3 linked regions of the Lonchura striata genome follow. Each later gene encodes a partner of the first gene's protein in a complex. Links are inferred from orthologs where the notes say so. Each region holds a gene or a part of one and is shown on either strand. Other genes may lie near its edges.

Region 1 (5,684 bases):
AGGAGAGACTTTCTGGATTTGTCATCTCTTCAGAGTGGTGAAAGAGTTTTGTTGTCATCTGGTGTTGTTACTTTCTTTGGAGCTGGGGAGGGTTTTGTTTGTTAAACAAACAGGTTATTTTCTGCTTCTTTCAGAGAAAATTCTCCCCAAATAGGGTGGGGGGGAAAGGGCCAAGGGGGTTTGTTTTCTGGGGGCTCCTTCCAGAGGTTTTTCTCCCAGATTTGCCCTAAACAGGACATGTGCCCAGCAGAGACTGTCCTGTGCCCGACACTGTCCCAGGAGGTGCCTCTGGGCTGGCAGGAGCCCCTGTGCCCCGGTGAGACGGGTCTGGAGCTCAGCCCTGGGGCCGTGGGGCCCCCGGAGCTGCCGGGGACGAGCGGAGCCCCGGCAGGCACACAGAGCCAGCTCTGGGTGGGCACAGAGCCGTGCTGCTGTCAGGCTCGGCCAGGATGGAGTCCTCGGGAGCTCCAGCATCACCTGCCTCGCCTCCCCGTGCTCCGCTGCCAGGCTGCCCAGGCCCTCTGCAAAGCCTCTGCTCTGCATCCCTGACACACCTCGGGTCCAGTCTGGTGAGTGCAGGTCCCTGGTGCTCCTCTGTTTTATCTATTCCAGCCTGGCCCTATAGTCTGTCATAGACAAACACCCTACCCTTGACAGCTCAGCCACCTCAGGTGGCTCCTATGACAATGCTGGAAACCGAAAGTTTTAATAAAAGGCAAAATAAAAAAGCTCTTTACAGAGAACAACCAAGCCAGGGCAAGAGGTTCTTGCTCCTGCTAAAACACTGCACAAAAGCAATTAACTTATTTTGTTCTCTTCTTTCCTAGGGAATTGCTTAGGCAGGACTTTTTGTGTCCTGTCCAATTGGCTATCCTTAAGTTTGAGGTGAAGTCCCCAAGGTCCTTTGAGGTGTCTTTTAACCACATTGAGGAGAGAAACTTCTGGGCTTTTGTCCTTTTTAAGGGGACAAAGGGTAACTTGTTTAGGCCTCAACAGGGGCACAGTCCCTCCACATCTGGCCAGTGGATGCAGTTAACAGTGCCAGGGCCAGGCTAACAGTGCCTGTTCCAGGAGCAGGGCAGGCTGTCCTTCCACATGAGCCATCCTGAGCCATCCCCACTGTGCAGGAGAGGAGAAACACCACCAGACAGTGCCTGACGGCCACTCCACAGGAGGTTTTTATCCATCAGGCCACCATGGGGAGCTCCTTGCTCCTAGAAACCCGACTGAGGTCTCAAAAGGAATTATCAGGGCAGTTTTAATTTCTGTGGGCTGTTTCTCTCCAGCCCTCTGCACCAGCAGCGTGTTACCATAGCTCCAGAACGTCATGGGAGCAATGGGGAGAGAAGCCTGAATTTCAGCTGAGTGTCTGGGCTTGGCCAGTGTGAAAAATGCCAATCACTTGGTTTATAAAATTTTAAAAGTTTAATAATAATAAAATGCTTATAAAAATAGTAATACAATTGCATGAATAAAATTTAGAGTTAGGACAATCACAAGACAATAAAAAGCAAAGAATTATGGACATCTGGATGCTCTTGGACACTAAGTTATGATAAGTATACTTTGTGAACAAAGGAATAACTTTAAAACCAAAAGCCTGTTGCATATTCATATATTCTTCATGGTTGTGTATATATTTTATTTAAAACAAGAACTCTGTCTGTTGTATGTTAACTATTTCTTTTATTCCCCATGGCATCAGTGAGTCTGAGAAAGGCCTGAGGAAATTAGCTTCTTCCTTTCACATAGCAGAGTTTCTATTTTAACATTGTGCTGGAACCTGAAACTGTATTTAACACTCTACTTAAGAGAATTAATACAGCATAACTTTCTAACATTACACACATAATACTCATTGTAACATTTGCGAAAAGCCAGTCATAAAACATGCATTTTTCTCAGCCAGCTTCCCAGGCAGCTCTGCCCAGCCATGCCCTCTCTTCTGCATCCCACCCAGCATCAGCCCGGCCACTGCACCTGCAGCCTGCATCCCTGGGCTCGTGGGGCTGGTTTCCACCCAGATCCCACAGATTTCCAGGAAGATTACCCACAGCAATGGTGTGAGAAATGCATATTTTATGATTGGCTTTTCACAAATATTAAATGGAATATTATATGTATTGTGTTATATTGATTTGAAGTGCTGTATTAACATTTTAATAGTATGGTAAATGTAGTTTTGTAGTTAAAATAGAAACTATGTATGTGGGGTTTTTTTTAAACAAATGAGATACTCACTTTGAGATAACAGTCACAGAACCCCTAAATCTTCCAGAGAAGAGAAATTGATGGTTTTCTTATCAGAAGAAGCTCATTTCTCCAGACCTTGCTCAGACTCGAAGACACCATGGGGATTGAAAGAGTTGGCATACTCCAGAGAGAGTGTCTTGTTTTAAATAGAATCTATGCATAATGTCATATATATACCATAAAGTATGTATGAATATGCAACAGTGTATGGTTTTTAAGGGTGATTCCTTTGTTCACAAAACATGCTTGTCGGGGCTTACGTGCCCGAGAGCATGCGGACATCTGTAATTCTTTGTTCTTTATTGTCTAGTAATTGTCCTCGGGGTCTTGCCAACTGACCCCAACACCTGAGGGGTGAGCAGATCCCACGGGACGCCGGGCTCTGAGGTGCTGAATCTCCTTTCCTGAGCCCGGAGAGCCCGAAGCTCCCAGGGCAGGGGGTCTGGAGGAGCTGACACCCTCTGCCCGCGGTGCAGAACCGGCCGTGCCCGTGGAGGGCTCGCGACATGCGGCGGACTGGGCTGAGGCTGTCCCTGTCCCTGTCCCTGTCCCTGTCCCTGTCCCTGTCCCTGTCCCTGTCCCCTGTCCCTGGCCCTGGCCCTGGCCCTGGCCCTGTCCCTGGCCCTGGCCCTGGCCCTGGCCCTGGCCCTGTCCCCTGGCCCCGGCCCTGGCCCTGTCCCTTCTCCCTGTCCCTGTTTCTTATCGCCGGCGGGGGACTGTACAAACCAGGAACGGACGGGACTGCTGAGGAACGTGTCCCCAGCTGTTCATTTTCCAGCATCACTCTCATTCCATGGTTATGACAATGGGAAGGTGCCAGCAGCTCACATCCCAGCAGCAGAACAAGAACTTAATGTTACATCTTACTTTAAAAGCTTTTTGACCAGTCACACAAAGCAAAAGCACACTGGCACTAGTTCTATCCAAGCTCTTATAAGCACACATACCTTTGGTTAAAGCAATGCTCGCTTATTTCCAATACAATACCTGCTTGTAAGCCTTAAGATACAATGCACAGAGCTCCATTATTAAGCTTAGACCTTCCTAATATCTCACCAGAGATACTTTTCTGCACCTTAGGGAGTTATTCTACCCCAGTGTTAACACACAGACCATTGCTCTATTTGTCCTTTCTACTTCTTGTATAATTTTTCTGCTGACAAATCTCATGGCTACTGCTGAGCTCTCATCACCATCCTGCTGTCTCGGAGGCCTTTTGCAGCGTGCCCAAACCCCTCTGATTGTAAGGAATCTTTCTCTGTTCGCTCTCCCTGTGCCGCTCCGTGTCCCTGTGGCTGTCCCTGCCTGTGCTCGTTCTCTCTGTTCCGTGTCGCTGTCCCTCTCTCCGCCCTGTCCCGTGTCGCTCTCCCGTCACGCCCGCTCGGAAGTGACGCCGTCTCGCTCCCGCCTCCGCTCCGGTGCTGCCGCCGCGCGTGGCCGCAGCGGCGCCGGGGCCGGGTCGGGGTCGGGCCGCGTTCCGCGTTCCGCGCTCCGCGCTCCGGGCTCCGGGCTCCGCACTCCGCGTTCCGCGCTCCGCGTTCCGCGCTCCGCGTTCCGGGCTCCGGGCTCCGCGTTCCGCGCTCCGCGTTCCGCGCTCCGCGTTCCGCGCTCCGCGTTCCGGGCTCCGGGCTCCGCGTTCCGCGCTCCGCGTTCCGCGTTCCGCGCTCCGGGCTCCGCGCTCCGGGCTCCGCGCTCCGGGCTCCGCGCTCCGCGTTCCCAGCTCCGCGTTCCCAGCTCCGCGTTCCGCGTTCCGGGCTCCGCGTTCCCAGCTCCGGGCTCCGCGCTCCGCGCTCCGCGCTCCGCTCCAGGATGTTCCGCATCGAGGGGCTGGGGCCCAAGATGGACCCGGAGGAGCTCCGCCGCAAGATGCGCCGCGACGTGCTCGCCTCCGTGCGCAACTTCCTCATCTACGTGGCCCTGCTGCGGATCAGTGAGTGACCCGGCTCCCGGGCCGTGCCGGGCCCGGTACGGGGATGTCCCGGCCCCGGGGATGTCCCGGCCCCGCCGTGCCCCGGCCCCGGGGATGTCCCGGTCCCGCCGTGCCCCGGTCCCGGGGATGTCCCGGCCCCGCCGTGCCCCGGCCCCGGGGATGCCCCGGCCCCGGGGATGTCCCGGCCCCGGGGATGCCCCGGCCCCGCCGTGCCCCGGCCCCGCCGTGCCCCGGCCCCGGGGATGTCCCGGTCCCGCCGTGCCCCGGTCCCGCCGTGCCCCGGCCCCGGGGATGTCCCGGCCCCGGGGATGTCCCGGCCCCGGGGATGCCCCGGCCCCGGGGATGTCCCGGCCCCGCCGTGCCCCGGCCCCGGGGATGTCCCGGCCCCGGGGATGTCCCGGCCCCGCCGTGCCCCGGCCCCGGGGATGTCCCGGCCCCGCCGTGCCCCGGCCCCGGGGATGTCCCGGCCCCGGGGATGTCCCGGCCCCGGGGATGTCCCGGCCCCGCCGTGCCCCGGCCCCGGGGATGCCCCGGCCCCGCCGTGCCCCGGCCCCGGGGATGTCCCGGCCCCGCCGTGCCCCGGTCCCGCCGTGCCCCGGCGCCGTGCCGGTCCGGGGCGCTGCCCAACCCGCAGCAGTCCGGCCGCGGCCCGGGCTCGACTCCGCGCTGTTTCCTCCCGCAGCTCCCTTCATCCTGAAGAAGCTGGACAGTATATGACCCCTCGGGCCCGGCGGGATGAGTGGCAGCTGCTGTCCCGCGGGGCTGGCCGCCCGGCACGGCTCGGCACGGCTCGGCACGGCCCCCGCGGCCGTGGGGCAGAGCATTCCGTGCTGCGTGAGCAGAGCCCCCGTCCATCCCGCACACGCTGCGGCTCGCCGGCCCGCCCGCGTGCGCCGGTCTGCCCTTCATCCAGCTCACCTGCAGCGTGAAATAAGCGGGAAATAAATGGAAATATAACAACGGAAATAAACGGGAGAGCAGCTGTGCCTGCTCGCTGTTTATTTGTGACAGTCATGGGTGGGATGGGGCTGGCTGGGATTGCTCCCTGGCTGCTGCTGTGGCTCTCCGAGCCTCCTGGAGGGGCGGCAGGCAGGTGGGATGTGCAGACACGCGGTGGGCACGGCTGGGAGGGCAGGAGCCAGGGCAGGGCAGGGCAGGGCGCTGCCCCCAGCCGGCTGTGCCAGCTCTGCTGGCCCGGGACCCGCCAGGACCTCTCCTTGGCTCCCGGGATGGGGGCTCATCCCCCGGGCAGGGGTCCTGGAAGTGCAGCTCAGGTTTGGGAACTGGGTGTTTTGTTGGGAGCAGAGCCACATCCCTTGGAGACTCCCTGCCTGCGGCCTCGGGTGCCTGCTGCATCCAGGGAAATCACCCATCTGCATTCCCCTGGGAAATGAAATCCAGGGCGTTCCTGAGCTCAGGTGACGTGGTGGCTGCAGGGAGGAAGAGGCTTTTCCCCTCCTGTCTCAGAAGGCATTTTCCTTCTGCCCTGGCCCAGGGGTGT
Region 2 (7,566 bases), on another chromosome or scaffold:
GTAGGAGGAGTGTGGGGTCTGGGAGAAGAGATCTCTTTACAAGTGCCTTTCTCAGACAGAGCCTCCGGCCACCCTGCTGTTAAAGAACCTGCCACTGCCGATGGGCCATGGCCCAGCCCTCTGGCCCTATGGACAAACTCCAGGCTAAGGTCTCACCAGGCCCCTATCACTCTCCTCCCTGGGAGCACACACTCTTATCTGTACTTCCTTGAAAGACTGTTTTCCCATGATTTCAACAGCAAGAGGCTGCTGTCACAGAGGCCTGCAATTTTAAAGTTGTGAAATATAGGAAACAGAGCATATTAGTAACTCCCCCTCGACTGTGAAAAGGGGCAAAATGAAACTAGATAAGGCCATGAAAAGGCAAAACACATGAGAACAAAAAATCTTATCTTCTCAAACTGATTGGTCACATTTGTTTAGCTGAGAGACTCAGAATAACATAACTGACTTCTTATCTTCCTTTTGTGTGATTTTTCTCTTTAAGTAAATGAAAAAACTATCTTTAGAACTTGAAAAATAACAATGGCAGTGTTCTCACATCTTAACTTCCAAACTCTAATTACACCTGCCATATACAGCCAAATTGTATGAACTGCTATTAATTAAAAAAAAAAAAAAACCACAAACTATTTAGTAATCAATGGGGGAGGCAGAAGACTCTTCGTTATTTTTCTACATTTCATAATGCAGATTTCCAGAGTACCCTACTTCAGCTCCCTATTGCCCTAAGGGGATAATTTCAACCTCCTCTGAGAAACAGTATTTACAATCAGTTTCACACACATACACACAAATTCAGAAAAACGTGTTTAGCAAAGATGTCTAAACTCTAGAGCCAGTCACTATATCAAGACATCTATCACTTGTTCAAAAATAAGTCTGGTTTTCCATGGAGTTAAACTAAACATTATTTTTTTTAAAAAGAGACATGAAAATGGCCTAAAGTATCTGAACTTTAAAGAAGCCAAACCCAAATTAAAGTTTATAGAAGAACAGAACCTAATCCCAGTGACAAGTCATTAAATGGCTCCTATTATGTTTTCCATAAAAAAAAACAGCTGACAGACCAATTACAAGGGAGTGCAAGAACTCTTGCCTGCAGTCCTCCTGTACAGCACCTGTACAATTCAGCACCTTAGCATATTATAGACAAGGTTCAGCTACACGTTTCCTCTAATGAACAGATCTCACCTCTAACTAGCATTGCCATAAAAATAATTAATTCTAGTTTTGGAGTTTTATATTAGCCTTTACCACAGACATGCTTTTACAGTATAAATAAACAAGCTTTTCCCTTTTGCTTTCAATGTTTCCAAATGCACTAGACAAACAGTACAGACAAGAGATTTATGCTAAGCAGAAGTGTATTGAGAAGTTAACAAACTGTCAAAATTCAGAGGATTATTACAGTAAAAAGGATGTTATCATTTTATCTGGCCTAGTTAAGCATCCTTACCCCTGCAGGGAAACCAGCCAGTATTTGTCAGACATTCCAGTCTACAGATAAAAGTTTTGTAATAAAACGTTGAAATAGAGTACAACTGTCACACTGCTGTTCTAATACTATACTGTAACACTGACAGGGATGGATGAGGACAAAACAGGAAAGCAAGAGTTAATTTTGTACATACTAAATGTCTGATAAACCAATGTCACCATTAGAACTCTCATTAAATGAAAAAAGGGCCATTAAAAAATCAGACCTGTGTCCTTTAATGTTAGATAGGCTTGCAAACTCATAGTCACAAGTAATTTTTTCAACCCTATTTTGAAGCACCTTTCACTTAAAAACTACTAATTACAAATCACTAAACAACAAGCGTCATTTAGCAACTAGAGATTTGTTGTAAAAACTGTAAAATAATCGACTTGAAGTACAGAATATACTTGAGCCAAGTGAGAGCTCCACCCTAATCTTTGTTTCATGCCACCGTGATGAAGTTTAATTAATCTGTCACTCGGGAGCCACAATCACGCTTTCTTCTGCGATAAAAAGAAAATCACCCAAAGAACAGAAAAATGTATTAGTATTATTGAAATTACTACATCACAGTTCTCCTTGGAAGTAGTATTTCAAAACTCTCAAGCTCTACAATTAAAAAATGACACAGACCTCTATTAGGATTTCTAACAATCCCAAGATCTCAAGATATTCAAGATCAAACTACAAACCCTATCAGCCGATAATAGATTGAAAAAAGGGTACTCACCAATTTAAAAGTCAACAAACTACGCCGAAATTATCCCAGTGTCACAACAAATAGCAACAAAAGAACTGAGATTATTCAAAAATTAATTTGTTAAAATACATCGGACACACGGTGACCTTCAGGCTTACACTGATACTACAGATGCTTAAAAAAGCCACCTCCTTACCCTTGCATTAACGCTCTCCCTACACACAAACCGGAGGTGGACACGGAAGCCTAATGTGGGCCAGGCCAAGGTAGAAACTTTAAGGACAGGATCTGGAAATAGCTTACGGGCTCAGGAAGCGAGGCGGGGGCAGTAAAGTAGCGCCTCCCGGAGGGAAGGGCGAGCGGGGATGCGGCCGCAGCGCGGGCAGGGCCGGGCCGGGCCGGGCCGAGCGGCGGCCCCAGGCCGGGCGCGCCGCCCGCCCCGCCGCAAGGTGAACCGACCCGCTCGGCGCGGCCATCTTGGGCATCCCGGCCTGACCTCCGCCCGCCGAGCCTCGCGCAGCCGAGCCCGGCCGCGGCACCGCGGGGACAGCGGCCGCGGAGAGGCCGCCGCCCGCCCCGCGAACCCGGCAGCGCCGGGACGAGCCCGCGGCCCGGCCACCCCCGGCCCACGAGGCCTCAGAGCCGCTCGCCACCGGGCGAGCCCCGCCCGCCCCCCCCCGCATGCTCCGCCAGGCCCGTGGCGGCCGGGGCCGGCACCTGCGTGTTGCGGGTCGTCGGCGGAGCAGGGCTGAGGCCGGTCAGGGGCGGGCAGAGTGGTCCGGCAGGCCGCGCTGCTGCAGCCGCGGGCAGTGGAGGGCGAACTGAAGGAGACACTGATCCGCCCGCCCGCCGCCGCCGCCGCGCAGGACCCCGGCGCGCCGGGGCCGCCCATCCCGCCGCCTGCCCCGCCCGCAGCGCCACACCACCCCCGCCCCGCGGGAGGCGCCGGCGGCCGCGGCCCGGAGCTCGGCAGCGGCGGGAGGTGCCGCAGCCCCGAGCCACAAGCCGGACGGCGGCGGCGCGGCCGGGCAGGCGCTCGGGCGGGCAGCCCCGACGGCGGCGGGGGCCTGCGGGAGGGCGGGGCCGCTGCGCGGGGCGCGCGCAGGGGCGGGGCCGCCCGCGGGCGCGGAGGAGCCGCAGAGCGGCCGGGAGAGCCGCGCCCGGGAGCCGCCCGGGGCTGCGCGGCAGCGCTCGTCCCTCCGGGGACGGGCGGCCCTCGCCTGCGCCTGCCGCAGCATCCCGGCGCCGCTGCCCTGCCGGGGAAAGCACCGGCCGCCCTCTCGGGGCCCAGCCCCTCCCGCGCTGGCACACGGACGGGAGACGCCCTTCAGCCGCGGCCTTTGTGCAGATGGCGGGCCTTGCTCCTCACAGCCCCCAGGAGCCCTTCCCTTCTCCGGGGAACGGCGCCCGCCGAGCGTGGGCGATGCTGCAGTGCCCATATCGCTCCGCTGGCTGCTCGCCCTTGCCCCACTGCACTGAACACATCCCCCCTCACAAGCTCTGTGCCACGGACACACAGGGCCACCCGCAGCACGGCCGTCCCATTGCCGCTCCGGCAGCTGTAGCCCATCGAACAAGGTGTCGAGCCTCCTGCCGACAAGTTGCCGCAGACTTTCAAATTGCCTAAGCTCCGTTTTTACCTCTTCCAATCACCACCCACAGACACCTTCCCCATAAAAGCACAGTGTGTCTCAGGCCGAGAGAAGCAGTGACCCTCAGATACGTTTCCCAGACAGTGCTGTCTGACCAGAAATCATAGCTGGAGAACAGTCACACGACTACTGTGCAGCAGGAGGAATCGCCGATTCACCAATGCAGACCATTGCAAGGCCAAGGAACTGCACAATAACCGTTTCTAAAACTCATATTCTTCTCTCCTTGCCTGGGTTATGACATGATCTCAACTTCTTCAAGAAAGCAAAATTCGTTTACAAATACACAATATATTTGTGTGATACAGAGAATACATAATATCACAATTCATTTTCCAGAACACATGGCACAACAGTAATTTTCCAGTATATTAAGAGAGCAGGTTAGTAGAAAGGCCCAACATAACGCCAGTCTGCACCTGTTTGTTATAGCAAAAGATAAGCAACAGATTTTGTGTGTGTGTGTGTGTGTGTGTGTGTGTGTGTGTGTGTAAGTCCAATGCTTTCACATCAAAAGACCCAAGAGATGTTTCATTCTGACGGTTTTAAGTAAGACAGTTTGGCATTGCAGAGATAAATATGTGTTGATGAATCAAGAAGGAAAGCCACATACTGAGAAAATAAATAACAGCAGGAAAAGAAACCCAGTGTGTCTTACTGTACATGGAAACATACATTCAAAATAACTAGAGATCTGATTAAGTAAAAATAAGTAAAAATAGATTGTGGAATAAGTTGCTCATTATTTAAAGACATGCATTTATTATTCATACCAGTCCTATAAATAAATCCATTCTGAATAGAAGTCCAGTTGCTTATAGGAGACATCAGCATTCTGCCTTTTTTTTCCCTTTAAAGATTAATATTTTAGTAATGGTTTGGCTTTATTTTTAGCAATCTAGGAAAGTAATTACTGCCCTGCCCTGAGCAAAAAAAGCAATGAATCACTTGCTTTGTGAGACAAGGCAGAAGCAATAATCTGAGACACAACAGCAAACTCCTCTGCATTACAGGCTCTGTTGCAACAGCCTTTGCCTGCCAGTGTTTTTTACTCACTCTTGCACTGCCCCTGCCTTGTACAACCATGCCTTATTGCCTCATGCCTTAGCAGATCTACTCGAGCTCAGAGCCCCAAAAAGGCACAGCTTCAGGCCTGCAATAGCAAGCCTTCTGAATTACTCTGCACCTTTCTTCTCAGCAATTTCTTCATACCACTTAGTGCACACACCTCCTATGTAGGTGCACTTCCTCTGAATGGGCTGGTTTTCTACTGAAATTCAGCAGCTCTCCAGTTTTGGGGCCAGTTGCAGTTGAACTGTTACCATTTTGTACGAACACAGCCGTATTTACGTATAACTGACATCAGAGTCACGTGTTTTACTGCTACCATTTGGAGAAAACCCACAGGTCACTGTAAGTTTAATGTCATTTGAACAAAAACTCTGCTTCTCTCTCCACAATTTAGAACGTATGTGAGCAACAAAAAGAGAGCAAGTGTCTACAGTACGTACCAGTGTCCACCATGCAGTTCAGATAACTTACGTTCACTTCTGACATGAGCCTGAAGTCATTGCTTTATCTTCCCTCCAGATGCAGATGTTCAGCTGATGATTCCCTGGAGAAGCCTTACAAATGATCTAGCAGTTGCATCCTGAAACAAGCTGATTTAGGGCATATAGCAGAGATGCTGAAAGTGTAACCAGCAGGGAAAGGGTGGAAAATAGTTGAAGCTACCAAGAAACAAATTCAGAATAAACAAAGCCAAGAGTTTTTCTATGAAAGAGTGCAATCCAGTGGAATTACCTGACACCAGAAGCTAAATGTTTATATGGGCTCCAGGGAAACTAGACAGGCTTGTGGAAGAGAAATCCAGCAAGGATTACTAATTACAAATCCATTCAAGAATTACATATTGCTATATAGCCTGTTTGGAGTCAGAAAATGCCCGAGTTGCAAATGGAAGTATCATTTAAGTTTATCCTGTTCTTGGATTGTTATTATAGGTGTGTGCTGCCTAAATAATTGCTCACTTCATCATCCCAGAGGCAGGGATATTAGATTGTCTACACCTTTTGTCTGATACCCTACAACTGTTCTTATGTGCAAACTAGGCCTCTGGAAAGCCCTAAGAGGGCAATCAGCAGAGGCCTACACTGCCAGGATCCTTTAGACTGACACACTTAATGCCTTTCCATTTTTTTCCTAAGAAGCTTCAAGTAACCTTCTTTCATTTTAGCTTAAATTACTAGGAAGAAGTTTAACTTAAACCAGATTCTAAAACACGCTTTAAACAGGCCCAAATGGAGCTAACACATTCAAATAATCTGACACAGAGAATACCTTAGGTCAGAGGCACACAGTTGATACCAAGAAGTGACTTTAGGGCTGAGGCAATGCCTTGGTTTAACGAAATCTGCCTTGCAGTTAGGGCCGGCCGCAGGCTGCGGGGCGGGTCCCGTGCGGGCCGAGCCAATCAGCGGCCTCGCTTTGAGGCGCCAATCAGCGGCCTCGCTTTGAGGCGCCAATCAGCGGCCTCGCTTTGAGGCGCCAATCAGCGGCCTCGCTTTGAGGCGCCAATCAGCGGCCTCGCTTTGGGGAGCCAATCGATCAGCTGCCCGGCTGTGAGGCGCTGGCCGTGCCTCAGTGCCGAGCACGCTGGAAGCACGAACGAAGGCCGGGCGCGGCTTTTGGCTTCCGGCTCTCGGCGAGGCCGGACTAGGCCGGGCCCACGTGGCCGGCTCGGCGCGCAGCTCCGCTGCGATTTCTGCTACTGCCGGGCCGTGCCACCGGAACTGTCCCAGCGCCGTAGGCAACCACACGGCCGGGAGTGGCCCTGTGGCCGGGACTGCTCGGTCGGGATCCGTGCAGCCCTGGCAGCGCCGTGCAGCCGGGGCCACGCTATTCGGCTATTTCGGCATGGCACACGAGTGAACTTGGTTTACTCAGCACTAGCGCCGGGAGTGGCCCTGTGGTCGGCGCTGAGGGTGGCCCCGGGGCCAGGAGTGGCCAGCGCCATCCCGGACGTGGCCAGGAGTGCGTGTCCGAATGGACACAACTGCAGCGGTGCCGTGCGGCCACAGCTGTCCCGGCGTGACTCGCAGGGGACTTTGCTTAGCCGCTTTAACCGGCTCTGCTGCGGACAGAAGGACAAAAGCAGTGGCAGCAGCGTTTTTCTTTCTTGCAGTGTCCCGCATGAAAGAAAGGCGCGGGGGTGGTGCCGGCAGCCTGCGCGGGTTGCGCTGCTGGCGGGAGCCACATGATCAGCAGCGACAGTCACAGCGATTCCTCGGCGGCGGAGCCTGCACAGATTCAGCCTTGAAATGTTGCAGGACTCTATACTGTTGTAGTTTATAAAGCCCAAGAGCAAATGAACCTACGAACACTAATTCTCCCCTGAGTCAGGAAAAGGAAAGGGTAGAGAAAATACGTAGAGACAATATACACGTCGAGAAAATAACATGGGACACTAAGTCAAGTAAAGGAGTCAAATTCTAGCAGGGAGGGGATTGACTAGATGCCTTAGTCGTGGGCTAAAATTATTTTTGCAAGACTATGGTGAAGGTATATTTGATACAACAAACTAGTTTTTTCCTATAATTCATGGAATGCATTGGGCAGATGTAGTGTTCTACCTACAGCCCTGAGCAGAACCATCAGTGTTGGAATAAGCAGATGTTGCAGTAGCTCTGATCCAATGAAGAGTTTGACCAGAAAGAAATGAGAAGCCTTGC
Region 3 (7,889 bases), on another chromosome or scaffold:
CTGAGGCACGGTCCTGCTGCAGGGCTGGATCCCGAGGGGTGGGACAGAAGGGAATAGCTGCCTCGTACACAGCGGCGCTGCAGCCCTTCCCGATGGGCTGGCCAATGAGGTACTCCTCCAGCTTGAAGCCCTGCCAGCGGAAGGAGCTCAGGGGATCTTTCTGCGGCTTGTTCTTCCCAACAAACACGGTCTGAAAGGAACATGAACAGAAGAACGAGCTCAGTTATCCCAGACTTCCCAGCTGTGATAAATGCATATTTTATGATTGGCTTTTTGCAAATGATACAATGAATATTATATGTGTAATGTTAGAAAGTTACGTTGTATTAATTCTCTTTAGTAGTGTGTTAAATATAGTTTTAGGTTCCAACATAATGTTAAAATAGAGACTATGTATGTGGGGAAGTTTTTTTTTTTAGGAATGAGATACTTGCTTCGAGGAACACCTAAATCTTCCAAAGGAGAGGAATTTATGGCTTCTTATCAGAAGAAGCTAATTTCTTCAGGCCTTGATCAGACTCAAAGATGCCGGGGGATTAAAGGTAACAGTTGACATACAACAGACAGAGTTTCTTGTTTAGAATAGAATGTATGCATAACCATGAAGGATATATGAATATGCAACAAGTGTATTGGTTTAAGGGTGATTCCTTTGTTCACATGCTTTTCGTGACTTAGTGTCTGAGAGCATCCGGACATCCATAATTCTTTGCTTTTTAATGTCTTGTAATTGTCCTAACTCTAAACTTTATTACTCTAATTGTATTATTATTTTTATAACCATTTTATTATTATTAAACTCTTAAAATTTTAAAAAACAAGTGATTGGCGTTTTTCACACCAGCGAAGGAGAACTTGGTGTTTCAGTGGTATTACACGTCCTGGTGAGATGGTCCAACCTGAAAGTGTCAATCAGACTCTAACCATTGGGCTCAAATCACTGTAACCACATGAAAGATCATCTGCAAGCCACATATTTTTGTGTGATACAATTTACCCCTACACCAGTCTTTTCCAAAGGTGCCCTTTTCGAGGGAAGAAGAGAAACCAGGAGGGGGAGTCATTTGCCAATTTAGAATATAAATATATTTTGCCCAGAGAAACCATGGCTGCTCCATCCCTGGCAGTGTCCAAGGCCAGGATGGTCAGGACTTGGAGCAACCTGGGATAGTGGAAGGTGTCCCTGCCCATGGCAGGGGTGGAAGGAGATGGGGCTTCAAGTCCCTTCCGGCCCAAACCATTCCATGATTCTGGGGTTGTGTAAAGCTAAGTTTAACTGAACACTTCTGAAAACAGATGCATTATTACACTTTTCTCCCTCTCCATAAACAAATCAGGCAAACAGCATTTAAAAGAAAATCCAATTAAAAGCAGCAACAGGAGAAACAATGGCCTTTGTGTGGCAGTTGACTGTGAGGGCTGGTTAGTTTGAGGGAGAGTGAATCTATGATGGGAGGGAGCTGGGGGAGGAAATCAAGAGACGTGGATAAACAACACTCAGGAGGCTGTTCTGGAGTTTCCTCACAGTTCATGATCCTACAGGTCTGGTGCTGCCCCAGCTGTCACCTGGACAGATACAGACAAGTGGCCTTCTCTGTGAGCTGCAGCCCCAAGGCACCGGTGACACCCTAGGGATGTGTCATCAGACACAGACCAGGGACAGCAAATGGAACAACCCAGCAAGGACAGAGGAGAGAAAGGATCCTCTTCAGGAGAAACTTCAGGGAACGCGTCTGCTGGCCAGTGGAGCAGGTGACAGCTGGCTCTGAGCACCAGAGGTCTATTTTTACCCGGGAAATAAGTTCAGTACCATATGTCCCCTGTGCCCTGCCAGCACAGCCTGGCCCAGCACCACAGGGGCCCTAGGGATCAACATCAGTGTCCTGGGACATGAGACCCCCATCACCAGGGGCCTGACCTCCTCCCTCTGGAGGGACAGGGAGTGAGGGTCCCTTGCTTTTGAAAGTGGTGGCTGCATCACTGTGCTTTAGGGCAATGAAGGGCTGGTGAGTGAAGGACTTCCCCAGGACCCTGTTTTTGGGGAGAAAGAGGCGCCTGTGGGGCTGCTCCCAGCACTCCTCCTTTGGGGAGGTGTCTGAGGGCTGCTCACTGCAGCACCCCGCCTTCCTTGGGGAGAGATGCGGAGGCGTCTGTGGGGCTCCCCAGTGTGCCCTTCACAGGGGCTGTCGGGGGGCTCCCCACAGCAGCGATCCCCCTTCCCTTCATGAGGGATGTCTGAGGGGCTCCATAAAACAAGGCTCTCCCCTTCACCAAGGGTGTCTAGGGGGCTCCCCACAGCAGTGATGCCCCTGCCATTGCAAGGGGGCATCTGAGGGGCTCCTCAGCAGAATCCCCCTCCCCTTTATGGATGATGTCGAAGGGCTTCTCCAGAGGGATGACCCCCGCTACCCTCAGCGGGGGCGTGCAGGGGCTCCCCAGAGCAAGGGCTCCCCTACCCTTCTTTGGGAGGGTGCCTGTCTCCCCACAGCACTGACACTCCGAGGCGTCCACGGGGGTGTTCAAGGGGCTCCGCACACCAAGGACCACCCTCCCTTTCACGAAGGATGTCTGGAGGGCCACGACCTCCTCTGCCCTTCTTGGGAGGTGCCTGCGGGCCTCCTTCCCAGCCAGCCCCCCTCCCTCACGGAGAGCGCCGCAGGCGCTGCCCAGCGGGACCCCCGGCCGCTCCCCACCTGGATCTGGCGACACGCCGCCTCAGCCCGGCGCTGCTCCTCCAGGCGCGGCTCCACCAGCCGCAGCGCCACGGCCAGCGCCAGGCACACACCGCCCCCGCGGCCCCGCCGCGCCGCGGCCGCCAGCCCGGCCGCCGGGCCGCGCAGGAGGCGGCGGGCGGCCGGCAGCCAGCCCGGCCAGCCCGGCCAGCCCAGCCAGCCCGGCCCGGGCCGCCACGGCGCGGCGGGCGCGGGGCCGGGCCCGGGGCGCGGGGCGGCGCGGGGCGCGCAGGGCGGCCGGCACCGCGGCAGCAGCCGCAGGGCCCGGGCCAGCAGCAGCCGCACCGCCATGGCCACGGCCTCGGCCGGGGCGGGGCCACCGCGGGACGCGCCGACAGGCCGCGCCCCGAAACACGCCCGGGGAGCCGGGGAGCGCGGGGCCCGAAACACCCGGGGAACGCGGGGCCGGAAACACCCGGGAAACCGGGGAACGCGGGGCCGGAAACACGACCGGGGAACCGGGGAGCGCGGGGCCGGAAACACGACCGGGGAACCGGGGAGCGCGGGGCCCCGAAACACCCGGGAAACCGGGGAGCGCGGGGCCGGAAACACCCGGGAAACCGGGAACGCGGGGCCCCGAAACACCCGGGGAACCGGGGAACGCGGGGCCGGAAACACCCGGGAAACCGGGGAACGCGGGGCCCCGAAACACCCGGGAAACCGGGGAACGCGGGGCCGGAAACACCCGGGAAACCGGGGAACGCGGGGCCGGAAACACCCGGGAAACCGGGGAACGCGGGGCCCCGAAACACGCCCGGGGAGCCGGGGAGCGCGGGGCCCGAAACACCCGGGAAACCGGGGAGCGCGGGGCCGGAAACACCCGGGGAGCCGGGGAGCGCGGGGCCCCGAAACACCCGGGGAACGCGGGGCCCCGAAACACAACCGGGGAACCGGGGAGCGCGGGGCCCCGAAACACGCCCGGGGAACGCGGAGCCGCGGCCCCGGGACGGGAGGAAACGGGGAGGGAGAGGAGCAGGGAATGGGCAGGGAATAGGGAGGGAGAGGGGCAGGGAACGGGGAGGGAATGGGGAGGGAGAGGGGCTCGGAGTGGGGCAGGGAATGAAGAGGGAATAGGGAGAAAGAGGGGCAGGGAAGAGGGAGGGAATGGGCAAGGAGAGGGGCTCGGAGTGGGGCCGGGAATGGGGCTAGGATTGAGCATGGAGTGGGACAGGGAACGGGCATGGAGTGGGGTAGGGAATGGGGCTAGGAATGGGCAGAGGAGAGGCCATGGAGTGGGGCAGGGAATGGGGCATGGATGGGGCAGGGAGTGGGCATGGAGGGGGACAGGGAACAGGGCATGGAGTGGAGCAGGGAGTGGGTGTGGAAACGGGCATGGAGACGGGCAGGGTGCAGGGCATGGGAGTGAGATGGGAAATGGGGCATAGAGCAATGGAGCAGGTGTGGAGTGCAGTATGAACAGGGGACATGGAGTGGGGCATCAAGCAGGGCACGGAATGGGTCATGGAGCGGGGCACAGAGCAGGGTTCAGCCAAGGTAAAGCCTTGTGCAATGCAGGGCATGGATGCCACAGCCAGGAGTGCTTTGGCATGGAGCATGCCAGTGCCCTGGGAACAGCCAGGCACAGCCCAGTGTGTGGAATCACCAAATGACAGAATCACAGGCTGGTTTGGGCTGCAGGGGACCTCAAAGCCCACCTTGTTCCACCCCTGCCATGGGCAGAGACACCTTCCACTCTCCCAGCTTGCTCCAAGCCCCATCCAAACCTGGTTTCCAGGGTTGGGGCAGCCACAGCTGCTCTGAGCACCCTGTGCCAGAATCCCTCCCTCCCCTGCTGCCCGTGCTGTGGCATCAGCCCCACAGCTGAGGCACATCCAGCCTCTCATCCACCAGCACCTCCAAGTCCTTCCCAGCAGGAGTGGTCTCCATCCTCCAGCCAATGCAGGTACTGAGGGGCTGCCCTGACCAGCACCCTGCACTCGGCTTTGTTGAACCTCATGAGGTTCCCAGGGCACATCCAGCACCCCCAGCCCTGCCTGGGCTGCAGGACAGCCCTGGGACCCCACTCCCTATTTCCATCACTCGCTACAACTGCAGGAGATAAACCAGAACTGCTTTTATTTCACTTGGGCATGGCAGAAATGCTCAGCCCAGTGCTGGTTGGGAAATGTAATTAATTAATTTATCATTGTATTATACATCAATGTATGATCAACAAATGGCATTACCCTGGAGACATAAAACTCTCCAGAAGTCCCCAAAAACTCCCTGCCCTCTTCTTCACCCCAAACAGAATAAAAGTAAAACAAGCTGGGGAGAAAGGAGCAAAGGACATGGTCAGTGCAATAACCATCCTGTTCCAGCAATCCACCTAATCTGGATTGGGTCACTTCTGGCGCTGATGGACCTTTTCCTTCTTGCTTTCACTTCTTTTTAGAGCTGAAGAATCCAGCACTTTCCCAAGCAATTATTTTGCATATTCAGGAGTGGTTTCTGTACCAAAGCCTGTTTGAGTTCTGCATCAAACCTATGTCCTCCCTTGCCTACAGGGATGTCTGGATGCTTTTTTTACTAGTAACAGGGAATTTCTATTATTTGATTTTGCCATTTCCTCGGGGCAAGGTGGAGCTGGAGTCTGTGAATCAACACTGAATTAGAAGATGATCCAGAGGAACAGGCAACTTAACAGTATAAACACGTTTTCCATTGTGTTGTTCCCAAAAAATTGCTTACAGGCTGAGAGAGTCAGGGAAAACCATTGTTCCCTGTACCTAAGGGCAAAGGCTGGTGATGGCCACTCTGCTCAGACCTTCTTCAGGTCCTCAGGGCCAAAGGAGAGTGGCAGCAGCTCCTCCAGCCTCTTGACAATGTAGGTGCCATCTGCTTTGGTCAGGTAGACATCCCAGTCTGTGCCAAACTGGAGGAGGAGAAAGAAGAGCCTGATGAGGGGGAAGAAGGAGGGAAGAACCTGCATTTCTTCCCCAAATTAATAATATACTCCTTTTTATTCAGGTTCACAGGGAGCATCCCCCTCTATTGCATGTATTTTGGGTTGGCTTAGCAGCATTACCTCCCCCAGAGGATATTCTGGGCTCAGATCCTGTGTTTTTACCCCACCAGCGTGAGCCCCAGTGCCTCTGAACCTGCTGAATCTGACATATTAACAACCCAAAAATGGGCAGTGGGTGCTGGGATTCCTGTGGAGGAGGGATACAAGAGCCGGATAGGATCTCTGGGAAACTCAGCTTTTGCAGGAAAACCCCCATTTTCATGCTTGCCAGAGCAAGGGCTCAAGGGCAAAACTCTGCACCTGGAAGGCAAGCTAATGAACACCCAACCCAGGGCTGGAATCTCCCTCTGCCAGCAGGTAATGAAATTTGAGGAGCCTGGAGCCAGCCCTGGGGCTGAGGATGGGGCGTTGCACCCTCCTTGGTACCTCCAGGTGTTTCAGGGGGAGATGCCTGGGGTCAGGGAATGGTGTCTGGGATCAGGGAATGAGCCATGGAGCCCCACACGAGCTGTCACCTCTCTCATCACTTGTCTGCAGGCGCCACAGGGTGTGATGAAGTGGTCCCCCATGTCACTGCCAAAGGAGAAGGGCACAGCATTCAGTCCTGAGGTCAGAGGAGGGAAGAACACCTGCAGAAGACCCTCACGCCCCAAAAAATACAGAGCCACAACAGATTTGCCCCCCAATTCCACCAAAAACAGCATGCAAAAACTTTATTTGCCTCCCCAAAAGATGGGGCTGCTGCAAAAGAAGCTGTCCCTGAGGAGCAGCAGGGGTTCTGCTGCTGGTTGCCCATCCCATCCCTCGCCGCTCCAGCTCTCACCTGGCGATGGCCATGGCCTTGAAGCTGGTGTGCCCCTCGGAGATGGCTTTTTGGATGGCAGCACGCTCGGCGCACATCCCCAGGCTGTAGCAGGCATTCTCCACGTTGCACCCTGCAGGGACAGCCCCGGCATCAGCCACCTCAAACCCCACCAGCTCCTTTCTTCTCAGGGAATTGACAAAGAAAAGCCATTTGCCCTGCTTCCCCTATTTATTTTCCCATCCGCTGTGATCTTTGGCTCGCTCCGGGATGGCGGCTGCCAAGAGGCAGCGGGGAAGGACACACAGCACCAGCACCCCGGGGTGACCCCGCTGCACCCTCATACATGACCCAAGGCTTGCTGGGGGCTCCCCAAAATCCCCGGGGGGCTCAGATCCCCATCTTACCCGAGAAGATCTCCCCGCCGGCGGTGAGCAGTGCAGCTCCCACCGGGAACTGGCTGTAGGGGCAATAGGCGCAGTTTTTGGCCTCCCGGCTGCGGCGCAGCAGGAGCTGGAGATGGTCACCCTGCGGCTGGCCGGGGGGGACAGCAGGGATCGGGTGCTGCCCGCCTCCCTCCATTCCTGCAGCCGCCTGCCCTGCCCGCTGACGCCGCGGTTAAATATTTCCTCGCCTGGAAAATAGGCTGGCCGGGACGCCGGGATAACGCCCCGGCACGCAGCTGAACTCCGGGAAGCATCCTCAGGGACAGCCCTGGCCCCAAAAGCACCGTCTTCAGGGATTCCCACATCCTCTCTCTGCCTGCTGCCTCATTCTTTCCAATTTCTCTTGTTTTCGTTATTTACTTCCTCCTTTCTCTGTCCCAGCAGAGCTTTTTTCCGCCGCCATCCCACCCCTCCTCAGTTCAAAACTGGTTTTGTGGCTCCACAGGAAATTGTCCTTAAATCATTCCTTGGGGGAAGGAACAACAGCTCCTGATCAGTGAGATCAAAAGAAATAAATTAAATTATTGAAAGCATACAAAGTATACAGAAATATATTTTTATCATAAAAAATAATATTTCCCAGGTCTTCTAACTACAGTCAACAGGGGAAACTGGCTGAAGACACAAGTGGTCAAAAGCCCAATTTCAGATGCCCTCATGCTGGAGCCCAAATTCAGTTTGGCCGGTGCTTCCAGGGGAATCAGCCCACACAAGGAAAGGGCTCCCGGGTGATCATCAAATTGTTTTTTAATTAAAGATTAATTTCTCTATTTTTCCCCTTGCCCAAGGAGCTTCCTGCTCCATTTTCTAGCTGCAAGAATGGTTGTCACAGCCTCCAGGGATTTACCACTGAGATTTTTGTCCAGTTTGTTGGATTTTGACCTTACCTGCTGGTTTTGCCAGCAAATCTTGCTGCTGGGACGCTGCTGAGGAGCCACAAC

What was found.
Region 2: the proteins of TOMM5 (region 1) and VDAC2 are in contact, whole or in part, in a cryo-EM structure (PDB 9EII), measured with the Homo sapiens proteins. The link is inferred for Lonchura striata from reciprocal best matches to the Homo sapiens genes TOMM5 and VDAC2. Residues at the interface, in NP_001001790.1 of Homo sapiens: Ile25, Arg29, Leu32, Ile33, Ala36, Arg39, Val40, Phe43, Ile44, Lys47; in NP_001171752.1 of Homo sapiens: Val38, Thr60, Gly63, Asp239, Tyr258, Gln260, Thr261, Leu262, Leu268, Leu270, Val286, Leu288.
Region 3: the proteins of TOMM5 (region 1) and PINK1 are in contact, whole or in part, in a cryo-EM structure (PDB 9EII), measured with the Homo sapiens proteins. The link is inferred for Lonchura striata from reciprocal best matches to the Homo sapiens genes TOMM5 and PINK1. Residues at the interface, in NP_001001790.1 of Homo sapiens: Met1, Phe2, Arg3, Ile4, Gly6, Leu7, Ala8, Lys10, Leu11, Asp12, Pro13, Glu14, Met16, Lys17, Arg18; in NP_115785.1 of Homo sapiens: Gln484, Ala488, Gln491, Ser495, Lys496, Pro498, Val502, Lys520, Leu522, Lys523, Leu524, Met527, Glu565, Cys568, Gln569, Ala571, Leu572, Leu573, Cys575, Ser576, Trp577, Ala579, Ala580.

Annotation. Positions count from the first base shown.
Region 1 is NC_134642.1:86,219,315-86,224,998, reverse strand, and holds TOMM5 (mitochondrial import receptor subunit TOM5 homolog), read left to right. Parts: upstream 1-4,008; 5' UTR 4,009-4,062; coding exon 4,063-4,183; intron 4,184-4,865; coding exon 4,866-4,900; 3' UTR 4,901-5,169; downstream 5,170-5,684.
Region 2 is NC_134609.1:11,428,427-11,435,992, forward strand, and holds the start of VDAC2 (non-selective voltage-gated ion channel VDAC2), read right to left. Parts: upstream 3,066-7,566; 5' UTR 2,901-3,065; intron 1-2,900. UniProt on the Homo sapiens protein: Non-selective voltage-gated ion channel that mediates the transport of anions and cations through the mitochondrion outer membrane and plasma membrane.
Region 3 is NC_134626.1:7,640,478-7,648,366, reverse strand, and holds the start of PINK1 (serine/threonine-protein kinase PINK1, mitochondrial), read right to left. Parts: upstream 3,024-7,889; coding exon 2,977-3,023; intron 2,866-2,976; coding exon 2,694-2,865; intron 191-2,693; coding exon 1-190. UniProt on the Homo sapiens protein: Serine/threonine-protein kinase which acts as a sensor of mitochondrial damage and protects against mitochondrial dysfunction during cellular stress.